Linked DNA regions of Tribolium castaneum. The protein of the gene in region 4 purifies or fractionates together with the protein of the main gene of each other region. This does not show direct contact. Links are inferred from orthologs where the notes say so. Each region holds a gene or a part of one and is shown on either strand. Other genes may lie near its edges. The genes, in order: Tpr2, rempA, Oseg6 and Oseg1.

Evidence for each region.
Region 1: the proteins of Oseg1 (region 4) and Tpr2 purify together in Homo sapiens (co-immunoprecipitation; 3 studies listed by BioGRID and IntAct, counting the BioPlex papers as one, with this or other methods). This does not show direct contact. The link is inferred for Tribolium castaneum from reciprocal best matches to the Homo sapiens genes IFT122 and DNAJC7.
Region 2: the proteins of Oseg1 (region 4) and rempA purify together in Homo sapiens (affinity purification with mass spectrometry; 4 studies listed by BioGRID and IntAct, counting the BioPlex papers as one, with this or other methods). This does not show direct contact. The link is inferred for Tribolium castaneum from reciprocal best matches to the Homo sapiens genes IFT122 and IFT140.
Region 3: the proteins of Oseg1 (region 4) and Oseg6 purify together in Homo sapiens (affinity purification with mass spectrometry; 4 studies listed by BioGRID and IntAct, counting the BioPlex papers as one, with this or other methods). This does not show direct contact. The link is inferred for Tribolium castaneum from reciprocal best matches to the Homo sapiens genes IFT122 and WDR19.

What each region holds. Positions count from the first base shown.
Region 1 is NC_087398.1:7,331,287-7,335,417, forward strand, and holds the start of Tpr2 (dnaJ homolog subfamily C member 7), read right to left. Parts: upstream 2,858-4,131; coding exon 2,724-2,857; intron 2,408-2,723; exon of another isoform or gene 2,296-2,407; coding exon of another isoform or gene 2,270-2,295; intron 753-2,269; coding exon 1-752. Other genes in the region: uncharacterized protein LOC103313090, read left to right, coding at 2,920-3,181, 3,228-3,454, 3,501-3,728; mRpL10 (large ribosomal subunit protein uL10m), read right to left, coding at 3,744-3,937, 3,986-4,131. UniProt on the Homo sapiens protein: Acts as a co-chaperone regulating the molecular chaperones HSP70 and HSP90 in folding of steroid receptors, such as the glucocorticoid receptor and the progesterone receptor.
Region 2 is NC_087399.1:1,792,248-1,796,302, forward strand, and holds the start of rempA (intraflagellar transport protein 140 homolog), read right to left. Parts: upstream 2,856-4,055; coding exon 2,709-2,855; intron 2,667-2,708; coding exon 2,442-2,666; intron 2,395-2,441; coding exon 2,204-2,394; exon of another isoform or gene 2,192-2,203; intron 554-2,191; coding exon 1-553. Other genes in the region: hob (protein hobbit), read left to right, coding at 3,002-3,060, 3,106-3,232, 3,276-3,473, 3,519-3,791. UniProt on the Homo sapiens protein: Component of the IFT complex A (IFT-A), a complex required for retrograde ciliary transport and entry into cilia of G protein-coupled receptors (GPCRs).
Region 3 is NC_087402.1:3,493,258-3,497,588, forward strand, and holds the start of Oseg6 (WD repeat-containing protein 19), read right to left. Parts: upstream 2,833-4,331; 5' UTR 2,638-2,832; coding exon 2,623-2,637; intron 2,535-2,622; coding exon 2,380-2,534; intron 2,332-2,379; coding exon 1,854-2,331; intron 1,803-1,853; coding exon 1,516-1,802; intron 1,468-1,515; coding exon 1,224-1,467; intron 1,176-1,223; coding exon 930-1,175; intron 884-929; coding exon 611-883; intron 525-610; coding exon 377-524; intron 334-376; coding exon 126-333; intron 83-125; coding exon 1-82. Other genes in the region: lipase 3, read left to right, coding at 3,280-3,408, 3,454-3,643, 3,689-4,331. UniProt on the Homo sapiens protein: As component of the IFT complex A (IFT-A), a complex required for retrograde ciliary transport and entry into cilia of G protein-coupled receptors (GPCRs), it is involved in cilia function and/or assembly.
Region 4 is NC_087394.1:36,927,841-36,931,841, forward strand, and holds the start of Oseg1 (intraflagellar transport protein 122 homolog), read right to left. Parts: upstream 2,803-4,001; 5' UTR 2,703-2,802; coding exon 2,644-2,702; intron 2,597-2,643; coding exon 1,612-2,596; intron 1,564-1,611; coding exon 1,282-1,563; intron 817-1,281; coding exon 387-816; intron 333-386; coding exon 205-332; intron 153-204; coding exon 1-152. UniProt on the Homo sapiens protein: As a component of the IFT complex A (IFT-A), a complex required for retrograde ciliary transport and entry into cilia of G protein-coupled receptors (GPCRs), it is required in ciliogenesis and ciliary protein trafficking.

The DNA.
Region 1 (4,131 bases), on a different chromosome or scaffold from region 4:
GAGTGAAAGCTTCCTGGAACCGGCAGTTTTTATACGCTTCATTGCCACTTTCCTTCGTCTTTTTGAGTTCTTTAGCTCTCTTGTAGATGTCCATAGCCTTTTTGTGGTCGGGTGCAAGTCGCAAGACTTGCTGGAAGTGGTTAAAGGCGCTGTCCAAATTATCTTCGTAATAAAGACACATTCCCCGTACGTAAATCGCATCAGCGTTTGTTTTGTCCAAATGCAAGGCCGTGTTGGCGATTTCTTGCGACTCCTGGTATCGTCCCAAGAAAGCCAAACATTCGGCTTTCATTATTTTGTAACGTGTGCAAGTTGGCGCTTCATCCAAACACCTATCCATGCAGTAAACAACTTTTCGGAAGTCTTTCTTTTCCATTGCTTTTGCTGCCTCTGTTTCGAACTGTCTCAGTTTTTCGAACGAACGAGTTTCATTGTTGATGTTGGCGTTCTTGTCAAGCAGATTGATCTGTTTGATGGCATTTTCTGCTGTTGTAAGGTCGCCAAGGGCTATAGCGCATTTCAATATTCGAATGTAGCCTTTGCTGAATGCGGGATCGATGGTTATGGATTTGCGTGCATCCTCCAATGCTTCTTGAAAGTTGTTCAACATCATGTAACATGCCGAGCGGTTCGAGTAATAGGCGGCGGTTTCGGGGCATAGTTCGATGGCTTCGGTGTAGAGATTGAGGGCAGATCGGTATTGCTTGACTTTGTATAATTGATTGCCATTTTCTTTTTTCAATTCGGCAAGCCTGAAACAAGCACGGCTTTCACAGGAACAACGCAACTTAAGTGTGACCAGAATGAGTGAAAATTGCCTTTTAATGGAGTGAATCACGCTATGAAGACAGAAAATTATAGGAAAGAACTGGGGAAAAAACGAATATTAACAATGATATAACGGAAGTTCACATAACTACCAACTTATCAAATTTAATAAGAATTTGGCTGAGTAACTAACGATGTTAACAACCTATTAAAAACAATTAAAAATAACGACCCAAACAAACATAAAAAGCTTACTCTACTGTAAACTTTTTCTCTCATTTTCTTCTGTCCGTTTTAGTTTGGTAGTAGTTTGCCATAAGACAAAGAATAAAATATTATTTTACCTAGTGCGGGGTCTGAATACAAAATATCTTAAATAATTAAGTAGGATAGAAAGGACTTGAGGCATTAGGAAAAAAGTTAAAGCTGAAATACGAAGAACTATAACTTAGGAGACGAAACGAGATACAAAATCGTACGATTTTCTGAACCCAAAAAAATAGTACGGTATTCGTTTTCAATTAATTTAAATCCAACCAATTGAATAATTACTTGGAGATTTCCATAAGAAACATGAGAAAAAAATATTTTTTAAAGATAAATTAAATGGGAAATTTTATCAGTTTTAATTTTGGTAAGAAGATAAAAGTTGATAGGAGTAACCGTTTCCGAGACAAAAAAAAAACAAAAAATACTTCTTTAACCCCCTCCCCCTCCTCAAGCTCACTCCCCACCCTCGGGAACTTTTGATATAATTCTACCCAAGTGTAAAGAATGCTTTAAAAAAATCCAACTCTCTAAGAATTTCTTTGTTTAATTTAACTGGGCTAATTCACTAATCTCCGAGACAAGGAGCAACAAACAATATTGCAGAAACAATATCTACACGTGAACCAGTAAATGACCTACCTACCAATATTACCCTAATTTCATGCGATTTGAAACGATACTTCATTAGAAGAAAATATTAACTTTTGTTTTTCTAATTTAGTAAATATTTAATCAATGAATTGATCTGATTTTCATTCGTGACTAAGCAAAAATATAGAACAAACTAGCCAATTAACATGCTAAACTGTGAAAATTTAAGGGCCATAAATCGTTGTTACTATAGCAACAACCAATAAAATTGCTAGATTTCTGATTTTAGGGTGGATTAAATTTTAACAGCCCTTTAAAACTTATAGCATGGACCTCAAAGTCGTAATATTCTGACGAAATAAAAACCTTAGTGGATAAAAATTCGTTACACATCCAGATTAGGGTTTTTTGAATTGGGTTCTCTTCAACTTTGATCACAATCATAGTCACAAATAGAGTTTGTAAATAAATCACATTGTTTTTATCTTATCAAAAACCAACACTCGTGTGGTCAATGTTTATTCCTTCGGTAGGTTACATTTGTCGTTAATAAACAACAAAGATAATCCAATTTAAAAGTGAGAACCTTACAGTTCTTATGCCCATTTATGAGGTAAACAAATTCAAAAACAACACTCACATATTGTGGCAATCCTCAACTTCCATGGTCTTTCTCGTTACAAATTGGTAAAAACCGCGAAAGTGTCACAGTGACAAGTTAGGAGAAATAATGCAAAGGCCATAAAATCCACGTTATAAATAAAATAACTGTCCAAACAAAAGGTTAAATTGTTAATTTGCACGCCGGACCAAATATAAACACTGAACTGTGGAGGAGTGAACCAGTAATTACAAAGGTGTACGACCTTAGATTAAAAATAACCCACGGAAATCGTTAAGACTGCACAAATCAAATTTAAAATCGCACCAAGTGGTTCACTGAAATAACCGAATCAATAGCAATTAATTGTGGGAAATTGCAGTAACAAATGTGAGTCAGTGACACTCGTGTCATCGACATTTCGACGTGAAACCCCACGAAAGCAGTGCTCAAAATCGAGGAATAAATCTAATTGTTGTAAAATAGCACTTACTCGGCTGGATTTTTTGGAATTATCAAATCTTCAGAGTCCATAACAACATCTTCCCCAAAATCTGCCATCTTGCACAAGTTGTGAAACGAGTAAGACCGATTCATCACCGAATTCAAAATTCGTACTGTGGGCATGCGCACTAGCTAATTTGTGACCAATCGATAAATTTTCACCAACGCGGGAATTTTGAAACGAAATGAATGGAAATGCGTTTGACAGTATCGCCTTCAACGCCAACAAATACGAAATCGACATTAAAAACTACTTCGTAACGCGCCAAGAGGACGACAGTACTCAGAGCGACACTTCGGACTCACAAACGGACCAGTACTTGGCCTGTAAAGGAGTTAAACTGCCAACTGCGGAACCACACATTTGCACCTGGGATTATTTAACAAAACCTGAAGTGATCCACTTGATGGGCATTAAGAGTAAACGACTCAAGAGGAATTTCATTGGTAGTAATATTACAATCGTTTAAAATTTGCCAAGTTTTCGTTGCAGAGGGAAAATTGCACAAAAAGCCCAAGGGACTTCCCCGGATCATATTCAGGGAGTTGATGTACTCTGTGACTAAATTCTGCACGTCTGCCAGTTACACCGTGGAACAAACTGGGGCCTTGTTGTCACAGTTCTACCTAACTCATTTATTTTTCACCAGTGTTTTGGATGTTGGTCCTGAAAAATTGTACGAGTATTTTAAAGGACTGCAAATGTGTCATTCTCTACCAGTAAGTGATGGGGGTCAAGTGTGGGTAAAAACTGTATTATTTTTAGTTCCCACCACATAGTATCAAATTGTTTAATTTGGAACAAATTAAGAACAATATGGTTTATTTCTGTAAACTATATCTTAGAAACCTGCCCTTGGTCAGGTTCTTGTGTTTGCCCAATTTTTCCCTATGTGCCCAACACCGCGTACAACCAGACGTCGCTCCACGTAAAAAAGGGAAGAAAAAAGGGAAAGGCAAAAAGGGTAAAAAAGCAAAAAGAAATGATCTATGAAATACATTTATTGAGCTATTCTAATTGTTTTATTCTTTGTTCGAGTTGTGAAACAAGGGTGCTTTGATGTTGGTTCAACTGCTGATGTATTGTAGTGGCTGCACTGTTGAGTGTTTGGACCAAAGCTGCTTGAGCTGTTTGCAAGTTTGGTATTTTTTCCAGTTCAATTAATTCGTCTTTACTCACAAATTTGCCCTCAAATATGGCAGCTAAAGGCATAATTAATTAAAAATAACAAAAACTGGATTATACAATACCTAGTAAGACAAGCTGGGGAAACCTTTTCGTGATTTTTAGCAATTTCTTTACTTCCGGTTGCGGACTAAAGACCATAATGTTTTGCGAGACGTAAAAATCCAAAACCGGTTCAAATTTCGTATCCTTGACTGCGATTTCAAGTGTT
Region 2 (4,055 bases), on a different chromosome or scaffold from region 4:
GTTTGTGTTCCTGGTCCAGAAATAAATGCGGCCAATGTTGGTGCCCGCACACAGAGTTTGGTTCAATTTGCAGAACGCCAAGCACGTGAAAACTTCACTAACTGTGCGATTTTTATCGTCGTTTGTGTAGAATTTCAACGACGTGGGTAACACGTAGTTATCGTTGGTTTCAATGTCCCAAATGCGGACGATTAAATCACCGGTTAAAACCGCCAAACTGGAGTTGGAACACCAGACTAAGCCCTGTGTTCCAACACCGCGACTTTGCACCCTTCCGCTTAATTTAACTTTAGCTAATTCGTTTAACTGGCCTTGACTATCAACGGAGAAATGACCGATTGTTAAACCCTCCATCATGACAATTAGGGCGTCTTTGCTCGGATGGTGCACAATGTAAGAAAGGGGCACCCCTTCCGTGTTTAAGACTTCCATGCACGAGCCCCCGCTATTAACGTAGTAAATTGAGCCCACTTGCGTCCCCACGTAAAATGACAAGTTGTCAGAACCCTCCTGAACACGGAATTTCCGGGCTGTGGTCTTCGGACGCCAATTACTGGAAATTTTTGGCACGTGAGCCCCAATTTTCAAATTTTTACGTTAATGAATTGTGCCCACATTTTTTTTTTTTTGGTCTTTTTTATTTGTGTAACTGTGTTTAGGTTAATTTTTTGTTCTAAAATGTTTCTTGAGCGTTCCTGGCTTAAAGCAAAACTAGAAAACTCCTAGTTTAGTGTCTGTGTTTAAATGACCAAATCTCGTAACCGTTTATGGCTTAAAAGACCGCTTAAACAAAAATAAATGAGTTTCTGGCTCAAAATTGGATGAAATACATTGAAAAAAATTAAATGAAATGTGATTTAAGTCGCAGGCTGCAACAATAACTTAGTGGTTTACACAACAAAACAATATTTTTAAAATTTAACTAATATAATTAAAAATAAATTGCCCATATTTTTAAATCAATTCATTCATTTTATTTAAGCATTTGTATTTACGTATTTTTTTTCCTAAAAATTCTTTAGTTGATTTGTACAAAATTCTTGAGCACTTCTGGCTTAAAAGGGAGATAAAAGACTCACAATTCACTGAAATAACATAACTCAAGCCTTTTTTATTTGTTTGCTGTTTCTACAAAAAATAATGAGTTCCTCACTCGTTAATTAGCTGAAATACATTTGAAAACATAAAATAAAACGTGTTTTGATTTGTGACCTGCAAAAATAAATTGCTAGTTGGAATGTACATATTTTTAATATTTTTTTAACTGGCGTAATCTGGAAACAAATATTAACATTTATTATGGAAAAATATTTAAAAATAAATTGTACATTTTTTTATTTTTCGTTCTTTGTAATTTTTCAGTCTTTGTTTGTGCTACTTTTTTTCTAGTGATTCTCCGTTTATTTGGACAAAATCTCTTCCTAATAAAATAAATGAGTTCCTGACTCAAAATTGGCAGAAGTACATTTGAAAATATTATGTTATATTGTATTATACTTTAGTTGGAATTTATCTAACAAAATAATCTTTTTAATTAAACGTAATCTGACGGCTTATATAAATATTTATTGTAGAATAATACTTAAAAATAAACTGTCCATATTTTTTTATTTCTCATTTTTTCTAATTAGGTATTTATTATCTGATGTCTGTTTAATTAACTTTTTTCTAGTAATTCTTTAGTTTATTTGACGAAATCTCTTGGGCGTTTCTGGCCTAAAAGAAATTAGCTGAAAAACATTCGAAAAAATAAAATAAACAGAGTTTACATAACAAAATACTACATAATTAATATTTTTTTATTTCAGGTAATCTGGAGACTTCCCAGAGACCATCAATCGAGATCCTTCATTTTATGTTTTTAATATTCATTGTAATACTTAAAAATAAATTGTCCATATTTTTTATATTTTTCTTTTTTAATAAATATGTGTTTTTGTGTTACTTTTTTAAATTCTCCGTTTTTTTTTTGATAAACCTCTTGAGCGTGACTTTTTTGGCTTTCTTTGTTAAAAATGAATGGATTTTTGACTCAAAATTGGATACAAAACATTTGAAAAAATAACTTGGAAACTAATTCTTTCACAAAAAATTTTTTTTTAAAAATTAGTTTAGTTGGTTGTTCATTTTAAAATTGTCAAAAACCGGCACAATTCATTAAAATAAACAAAAAAATAAAAAAAGGAGCCACCTTTATCCTGACCTAAAAAGATCGAGGGCCCTTTCATCCCCATTAACCGCCGCCTTAGCCAACCCCTCAACATCAAAATCCGGATGCGGCTTTATCGTAATCCTGAACGTCAAATGCGTAATCGACTCCTTCAAATCCAGATGAAAAACCATAACAGTCTGCGCCTGAGTATCCACCACCTTCCACCCCACAAGCGACCCCGCCTGACAAAAATTCCCTATAAAAAACCCCCCAAAACCCGCACACTCACCGAATCGCACGACACAAGCCGGCCCCCCTTTTCGCTGAACTCCAGCAGCGTGATGGGGGCCTTGTGCGGCCCCCCAATGAGCGCAAAGTCCTTCTCCCCGTTCCAGATTTTAAACTCGCCGTTTTCCCACCCGGTGGCCAGGACATGGCGCTCGGGGTGCCAGGCAAGGGCCGTTACTTGAAAACTGCGGTGTACGGGGTAGTTTATATCGCTCAAAGGCTCCCCCTACAAGCTCATCAGCTGGGCAAAAAAGTTCGATAACCTTACCAACTCGTCGAAAATCGTCACGTAACCGCCCTTATCTTGCGAAAAACTGGCCACGGCCAGAAGGGCCGAGTTCGGGTGCCAGACCCCGTTCAGGGAAATCGAGCCCGGCTCCGGAAAACTCACCGGATTTTCAAAATAAAGTGTCATTTTTTCCTTGTTTACATGGCGTTGCTAGGACGCCGTGGGGTTTTTGTACGGTTCGTTTGGCGCCACTGCTTTTCAAAACTGACAGATGACGTAAATATTTAGCTGTCATGTGGGTGTTGTGAAAAAAACTGTTTTTTTGGGGGAAAATGGGGGGTTTCCTCGTTTTTATCGTGGTTTTTTTCCTCCTAGTTTCGGTGGTTTTATGGTAATTGTTGTGGAAGAGAGTGTCACGTGATAACTCGTGTTTTAGGGGCTTCAGGAACATCATATCATGGCTGTTTCGCCGGAAATACAACGTTTCGCTCAAAATCGGAAGCATAAAATTGCCCTACTTGAAATTATGTGATATTCAAATATCAAAAAACGGCTTCAACATTGTGAGTCGCCCCATTTCAGGCCTTCGTTTACGTTCGGTTTTAGCACATTGATGAGATCGGGATCAAGAGTAGTTTTTTGAATTCAGAGCTTACAAAGTTAGTTACGTTGGTTGTGAAAGATGTGCGAGTTAACAAAGACATCGGACAGAGTTCCGACTTTATGGCGGTCGCCGGAAACGGCAGAAAAACGCTTGATTTCAGAGATAAGAAAATTCCCCACTTTATCAACACTTTTGCACAAGTAATAAGCGACTGTTTTTACTATCGTGATAACGGATAATTGTAGTTTATGGCTGTGCACGTTTACAATATCTCGGCTATGTTACTGAGGTCTGAAACGCCAGGTTGTCTCACACATGCAACCGCCTCTGAATTGAGACTAGACGGCAGTATTTTAAAAAATGCAAGACTTTTGTTAGTTAGTTTAAACCTAATTGATGCCTCTGCCAAAGTACTGAGGCACCAAGAAAATCAATCGAAACAAACCTGTCTTGCAGAATTTAGGTTTGGTGTTTCAATGGACGTTATTTTGATCGCTCAGGGCCCCCTATCAGTTGAGGTATTTTTTTTTAAAACGTCTAAAGTACAGAAAGGCATTACACCGTCTTGAGATCTCTAGTTTTTTAGTAGATGTATTATTTACACGTTTAAGAATCTGCTAGAAATGGCAAGAAAAATACGCCCATTTTTTTGAACTTGTAATTGGACAAGTTATCTCGATATTTCGTCAGTCGATTGTGACGAAATTTTTACTACAGTTTAAGTAGTATATTATTTGGGATTTAGCGCAGAATTTTTTAAATTGGACTTTGCGTTGATTTTT
Region 3 (4,331 bases), on a different chromosome or scaffold from region 4:
GTGTTTCATCGCTTCAACTGCGAGTTTTCGCCACAATTCCTCCGACTTGAGCGTCTCGCAAGTGGTCCAAGCGGCCGAAAATCTATATAAAGTTATTAACAAATAGAACACGACTGGGTGGTTACCTATACAATGCGATCTGTTTGTTAAAATTGGTTTCTTGGATCGTTTGGTCATGTTCGTTAACGCCGATTTGAGGCGAGTCATGGGTGTTTAAAATTAGTTGAGTTATCTGACCGCCAGGTGTGGCTGATATTACTTCACCCGAGTACATTAATAGAGGGATTTGTTTGGTTACAAGCGAGGTTTGGCCCACTTTTTGGACCGAGGAACCTAAAATTGGGTGTTTTTACATTTTCACACCTAAATTACCAACCATTAATTGAGTATCGGACGTAGACATAGGTGAAAATATCGTGTTGGTCGTACACTATGAAAATGTTGCGATCGTTTATATTGCTATCCCACGTGACTCCTAATACTTTATTTGGTAGGTTTGGTATGAGTACAACTTCATTTATCACCTCAAAGAACAAATAGATTATTCAACGGGCCCCAGATTGTGTTTGTTTGTTTCCAAATTATGTTTAGTGCCGTAACAATTACTTACAGCATTGTAGACGTAACCTTGGCCTTTAATATCAACAAAAACTAATCTAGTGCCGGCAGGGTCGGCGAAAACGTTCACGATGCCAACTTCATGCTTATATTCGTGGGCCAAAGCCCACTCTTCGACGTGGAAATAAACAATATTTCCCATATCGGTGCCGTAAATTAAAAAATCGGTTGTTAAAAAATGGCAAGTTATGAATAAATTTGGTGAATTTGCGTTCGGAAACATTATAGTTTCGCGATCCTCATGGCAAACCTCCGGTTGTTCAATCTGTAGTAAAAAATTAACAAAGGAAAAAACTACACAAACTTATCACCATGTGTAGTTGTAATTTTCCTTCAAATAAAACAGAAGCATATTCAGGATTGAGTTTGATGCTAGTGACGCCCCCTAAGTACTGTCGGTCTTTGAGCATTAAGGGGGCGTCATCCACTCCCGGCTGGGGGCGCGTTAAATCATAGAACCAAACCCGGTTATTTAAACCGGCGGCTATGTGATACGGGCCCACGGCGATAAAACTAGGCTCCGTTTCGAGTGTTATAGGAATCGGTTTGTATTTGGTCTAAAACAAGCTATTTATTTTACTAGTTTCACTTTTTAACGTGACTACTTTTTCTGAGGAATAGTTGTAAAGACTGATTTCAGTCAGACTTGACAGAATCGCTATTCTAGGCGTTGAGACTGAAGTTAGTAACGGCACGTGTGACAAATAGACGTTCAAAGAACCACCACGTGTACACACTGAAAACAACTGACCGTCAACACTCCAACTTATCCTCTCTAAACCGGCCTCCTGTGACAAAGTTAAGACACTTGAGGTTTCTTGGAGGTTGCTCAAGTCGTGTATTTTAACACTAAAAAATCATAAAGTAGTGACCTGACCTGCCATGTTGGATTAATACTTGTTATCGCCACAAGATGCGGCTTTTCCGATTTTGTCGTTTATTGTAATATCAGTGAGGGTGTTTTTGTGATTCCGGACCTGGAATAACTCCTGGCCCACTTCCTTAATGTGGGTGGAGATGGCAATAAAATAACCGGCGTTGAAGCCGATTAAAATATAACCATCTCCGAACCACTTATACGTAACAATAGAGCCATAATGCTGCTGAAATGCTAATTCAATGGGATTGTCAGGGTCTAACAAATTGTAAAGATAGAGAGTGCGCTTTCCCACAATTACGCTGACCTGGAATTAACAATTAACGCGAAATAATCAGCGGAAACTTGAAAAAATTACAGTGTTTTCGCCCCCCATGCGCTCGTCGAGCTTCATTTCCGAAAAATTTATTTCAGACGGCTCTGCCCGCAAATTGATCACTCTGAGCGTATCCCCGTCTACATTACTGATAGAAATTGTTTTATCCTCAGACCCTAGTGCGAGCAAATTCTCCGTGTTCCAAGCCCCACACGTGATTTTTTTCGCGTGCTTGCCAATAACAGGAGTGCGTCTAGAACCGACAATTAAAAAAACAAACAACAAAAAAACAACTAACTTTGATGTGTTGTGATTATAAATAGATATGTTTCCTTTGACCGTCCCCACGGCCAGCATGGGGGCGGTCTTGGCCCAAATCACGCACGACATTTGGTCCTTCAATCTCACATCAATTTGAATCTTTTTCTGGGTGTTTGCATCCCACAGTGTGAGTTGAGGTGATTGGCAAATTACCGCCAAGAGATCACCGTCCGAGTCCCACCCAAAACCGGTGCACAGACTGCAATTTTGGGTTTAATTAAATGGAAAATTGAAAGGAATGGGGCACCTGGGCAAGCGGATACGGTCCTGGATTTGTCCATAACGGTCGAAAATATTGACCATACAGTCGATCCCAGTCGTTGCAAGATACATGCCAGAGCCATTTTGCCATGTCGTGTAAATATCACCGGTGCCATGGGGCTGTTCCAAGCGGAACAAGAGCTAGAAAGGGGTTGTTTGTATAGGTTATAAACGACCGGGAAAAATTGCAACATGCAGGAGTTGCTTTAGGGAAAAGGGGTGGAAATACCTTTTCGCTTCCCATTTTTTGAATAATCAATGCGTTTAATGTTTAAAACACGATACAAACATTGTTGTTATTGATGAAAAAGCATTTTGACATTCGACAGACGCCAAACACCCATATCGCCAACATGAGGATTCAAAATCTGGTTTTTTAATTTGACAAAAACTCAATTTTTGAGATTATTCCAGTGAAACTGAAACGATCCATCGACGTGCACAAGATAATTATATGTAATTGTAATTTAACTGCATTAATTTAAGTCTCTCTTACTGTATGATTTAAGTTGCATTTTGCTTTGAAGTAAATGCATCAAGTTACCGTGAAATCACCAAACAAAAATGGCGGCGCAAAATTCAAACCAAGTCACAATTGTGTTTTTAGTTTGTTTAAAAATAGATAAAGGTTTAACGAAAATTAGCTAATCACAACAAATAGAGTGATTTTCCCGACTTTGGACCTCACGTCAGTGATAGAGCGGCCTTGGTGAGTAAAAACCAATGAAATTACACTTCTGCATGACTCACGTGGGGCTATCGTTTTTAAATGCAGAATTATTTTAAACCATTGAAAAAACTCATTAGCTATTCAGTTTGGCAGACTTGAACCGTAAAACTGGTTCTGTTGCGTCCAAAGTTTAGGTTAATTGTCATCGTCTTTGCGATGCATCGATTTTTACTCCTCGTCCTATTTTTACCAATTTTTCGTTGTGAAAACGTTACAAACAGTGTCAAATGTTCGTTTGAAAACCTCTCGGCTTGTCCTTACAATCCGGACGCCGATTTAGATACAGTAAGTAGTAATCCCGTCATTTAACACCAATTAAAACGCCCGCAGCCCCAAATCGCCCGAAGACATGGCTATCCGGCCGAATCTCACTACGTCACAACGGAAGACGGCTACATCCTCACAATTCATCGCATCCCAGGGCCTAAGAGCGGCCAACGTGGGGGCCAACCTGTCTTTCTCCAACACGGGCTGCTTTCGAGTAGCGCCGATTGGATAACGGCAGGGAATAACTCCCTAGGTTCGTACTTTCAGATTTTTGATCCAAGAGTTACGGTTTCATAAGGTTTTATATTGGCCGATGCCGGGTATGACGTCTGGATGGGTAACGCTCGAGGTAACACTTACTCCAAAGCTCATGTTACTCTACCGATCGAAAGCCCCCAATATTGGAACTTTAGCTGGCACGAGATGGGAGTTTATGATCTCCCAGCTGCACTCTACTACGTCAGTAACACAACAAACAAACCGGGCGAAATAATCTACGTGGGGCACTCGATGGGGACCACAATGTTTTTCGTTTTGGCTTCAACTAAACCACAAGCCGCCAAAAACGTAAAACTGATGGTAGCCCTAGCACCGGTGGCTTATATGACGCATGTGAAGTCCCCAATTCGGTATTTGTCGCCCTTTGCTTACGATTTCGAATGGCTGGCGCGATATTTGGGTCTGAATCAATTTCTGCCCAACAGTAAAATAATGAAGTTTTTGGGGTACGATTGCGAGTTGTTGAAAATCGATAAGGAAATTTGCGAAGACGTTATTTTCACTTTGTGTGGTTTTGATAAAGAGGAGTTCAATGAGGAGCTCTTGCCGGTTGTTTTGAGTCATGATCCTGCAGGATCTTCCACCAAAACAGTCCTACATTACGCGCAGGAAATCAAATATGACGGAAAGTTCCAACAGTATGACTATGGGCCCAATGGTAA
Region 4 (4,001 bases):
TCAAACATTCTCAAGTCTGTATACATGGTTAAAGCTTTATGTTCCTGGCCAGCTTTTTGGTACAACCTTGCTGCCTCTTTTAATCTGCCTCTATGTGCATAAATATCACCAATCATGGCATCACGATTCGTTTCACCTTTTTTTTGTTGCTCCTTGAAACAAATTTAAACCAAAACTTAACGATACAAGAAAACACAAAATTACTTGCAAGTCTTGAATCAACTCCAAATAATGAAAATCCTGTAATTTAATAAATGCTAGTCTTGCAACTTCAAATTCGAGTGCTTCCAAGGCCGAATGACCCAATTCGTCCCAATCACCATCCGTCACACCTAAATAAAAATCATTAACTCTGATAAAATCACAAGCCCAAAAAAAACAATCACCTAAACAAGCAACTTTGTAAGCTTCATCAAACATTTTCTTATCAATATATTGATACATGGGAGCACTTAATGGTAATTCAAGTGTGACCATTGCTGCACCATTCAAACAAAATACTTTCGCTCCTGATAAACCCACAACAAAACCCATCATTTTTTGGCGATGGGCTGGAAAATCCAATACTTTTATTGCAAGTGAATTATTGCCACTGAATGCGACCATATCTTCGTATAAATTATTGAAAGCCACACTGTTTGTTCCTGGTTCTTGGTAGTATAATTCACCGGTTTTTGAGTGAAAAACTTGCAAAAGCCCCGTTTCGTCAACTACAGCCAATTTGGATTTTTTCTGGCTCAAGTCAAGGCAACGGATACCACCGTTAACTGTCACCTTGAGTAGGGGGTGGATGTTGTCTAAATGTACCTCCCAAACCTAAAAAACCCATTGGTTGGGGTACACTTTCATACCAAAACAAATTTTTAATTATTTGGATTTTAATTTTGGTTTTTTACAAGTACAAAAAAATGTTTCGTTTATTGAACAATTAATTCAAAGAGAGAAGTTCAAGATCAAAGTATTTTTGCTCATCTCGGTAAATTTTTTAGTTCGAAACACGATCGTTTCGTAAAATTTCATCAAGAATAAGCCAATAAATCCACGAAATGTGCCCTTATCGAGCAATTATGCACGTTTTTTGAACTAAAAACTGTTAAAAACTAATTAAATCAAATCAAATAAATGATAAAACTAATTTTTATTAATGACTTGAAAACTATCACAAATTTTGCGGTTTTCTTGAAACCCATCGATTTCCCGGAACATTTTACATACCTATGCTTAAAAAATATCTCAGACAAACTAGAAAAATGTTAAAGATACAGTTTTTATTACACATACCTGTCCATTTTTAAGCCCCAAAATCATTCCCTCCTTGCCCGGTGGCCCCCCAATGATTTTAATATACCTAATTGGACTCTCAAAATTCCACTCTTTCTCATTTTGTCCCGAAAAAAACATACTTTGTAATTTCTTCTCCTGACAAACAACCAAATGTTCCGTACACACAACCAAAAGACTACAGTCCAATTTTTGTGTTATTTTCTCTTTCGCCCGATAATGCATATCATTTGCATCATTCGAATACAACTCATAGATTACAACTCTTTCGGGCAATTGGACCTAAAAAAATAATTCGAAAAATGTTCGCAGTTTTTTTTTTAAACTTACAGCAAGTCGATGTTTATAAATCGCAATTTTCTTAATCAAATCTCGGCACTTGATGCGAACTTTTTGCTCGGTTATCAAGTGTTGTATAATAACATCGGTCATGTTTTCACGAAATGCGTATCGTTCCTTGTACAGACCATGAACAGTGTTGAAGATTAATTGATAGTAGGCTATTGTACCATCTTGGCACCCCATCACAACGAAATTACCAGAAGGATGAGCCGCACAACACCAAACCCATGCGTTTTGTTGGTCCCCAATGACGTCAAGTCTTATCCCATCTTTAGTGTACATCACACAAGCTTTGTTAAGTCCACTGATCAAAATGTACTCCCCTTTGGGGAAATAATTAATCCTCAAGGCCTCATAACCGATATTTCGTTCCTTTCCGACCAATTTCCCACCAAGTGTGTAAAAAGCCAAAGTTTTATTCCAATCAGCCACACACAAAACATCGGTCTGGTCCTCCTTACACGTACTCCAAGACAGGGCCCAAATTGCGGGGCTATTAGGCCGCTCAATCCTCCCTTTCTCCTCCCCTAGTTTATTCCTGATTGAAATAACCCCATTATTGAGCCCCAAAGCCAAATACTGCCCGTCGTTAGTCCACGAACAGGCGTTTATCTTAACATTGGTTTTGTGCTTTTGTACGGCTTTCTGTTCCGAGCTCCAGAACGCAAAGTCAGTGAGGGCACAAGAAGCCAATTGGTGGGACAATGGGTTAAATAAAATACACTGAACCGAGTCACTGTGACTATACTTCAGTAACCCTTCAAGTTTACTCGACCAAATAATCACAGTCTTGTCTGCACTACCACTTGCAAATTTAAGCCCGTTTTTTGCATAAGAAACCGCATGAACCTTATCTTTGTGACCTTTGAGGGTCTGAATTAGGCTACCGTCACTAGTATCGTAAACTAGGACATGATTACCGGTCGCCACAATCAACTGACTCCCATCAGGATTAAAACACAAGTCGTAAATCCTAAAAGGGCTATCAAGCAAAAAGTTTGATAAAATGAACGTACTCACGTCTGGCCCTTTTTTTCGTTGTCTTGGATTTTGTCGGCCCATTTTGGCACCGAACGCATTTTTTTTCAGACTTTTTTGCAAATATTGGAAAATTAAAATTGGTATTTGACGTTTGTGTACAATAACAAGCCGGGTTACCGTGGTAACACCTGTTGCCAACCGTCAAATCGGGCAACCAGCAATGCAATATGTCTATGCAATAGTCTAACAACCAGGCGCAATTTTGAGGAAAAGAAAGTGGTGTAAAAAAAATTGTTAAAATTGAGTTTTGTGTATTAATACCACTTATGACTAGTATCCAAATACTAGTTCGTATCGCTGAGACTAAAAGCAAAGCACAGATAATATTTTTTATCATTTTTTATCCGTGCTATGATTAAAAAATCATAATTTTTGTAAATTAATTAAATCGTTAATTAGTTTTTCCTTGTTCTTGTCGTTGTGAAAACACCTCGTTTGCGTTGAAATCTCGTTTCGTTATTTTTGAATCAGAGAAATGGGTAAAAACGTAATAAGACTTCGCTTATAATAATAGTATTCCGGAAAATTAGAGCCCGGAATGTGTTTCGCAACAAGGCTTTTCCTTCCTCAAAGGACGCATTGACATCGTTGAGCAGCCGCAAAATTTGCATTTACGACTCGAAAACCAACACATAAACCTTGTTACACTTCTATTATAAGCGAGTAATTTGAAAAATACGAACTGAACTCACGATTTATGGCTTTTATTTAAATCGAATTCATGACTATTTGAAATTGAATCGGTGAGGAATTTTGAAAGAAACAATTAATTGGAGCACTCTAGTCGACAATTTGAATAAAATAAACATTCCTGTATAATGGTCGGAAATTTTGTCTTAGATGGCAGTTTGAGATAATTTACAAGACAAGCTTTGTTTAAACAGTTTACATTATTTTTTCAAAGGAGCTGATGCGTAATTGAATAAATTCCAACTAGGCATGAATTAATGAAAGTTTAGTTCAAAGAGCTGTTAATTCAAGCAGTGTTTAAAAATTCAAATAATCGATAAATTGACTAGACAGTACAGGCTGTCGTGTTATTATGTCGTCAAGAATTTATAACCCTTGGACATTTCGAATTTTAAAGCTCGAATTTCAAGACATTATCGTTTTCCAAGTCAGCGCACAAAAGACCATTTGTCCGACAACAGATGGCCTATTTAATTCTGAAGGATAATTTTTCCATCAACTGTTAATTCCGGCTCAAAATTTAATAACCGTCTAACTTGTGCGAAATTGAATCTTGCGGGGTCTGAAGTCAGGCATGATATGGCTTTCCTATAATAAATTTAGTTTCCGAACCGAAAAATTTCGCCCCAAGGAGACGGAAAAAAGCG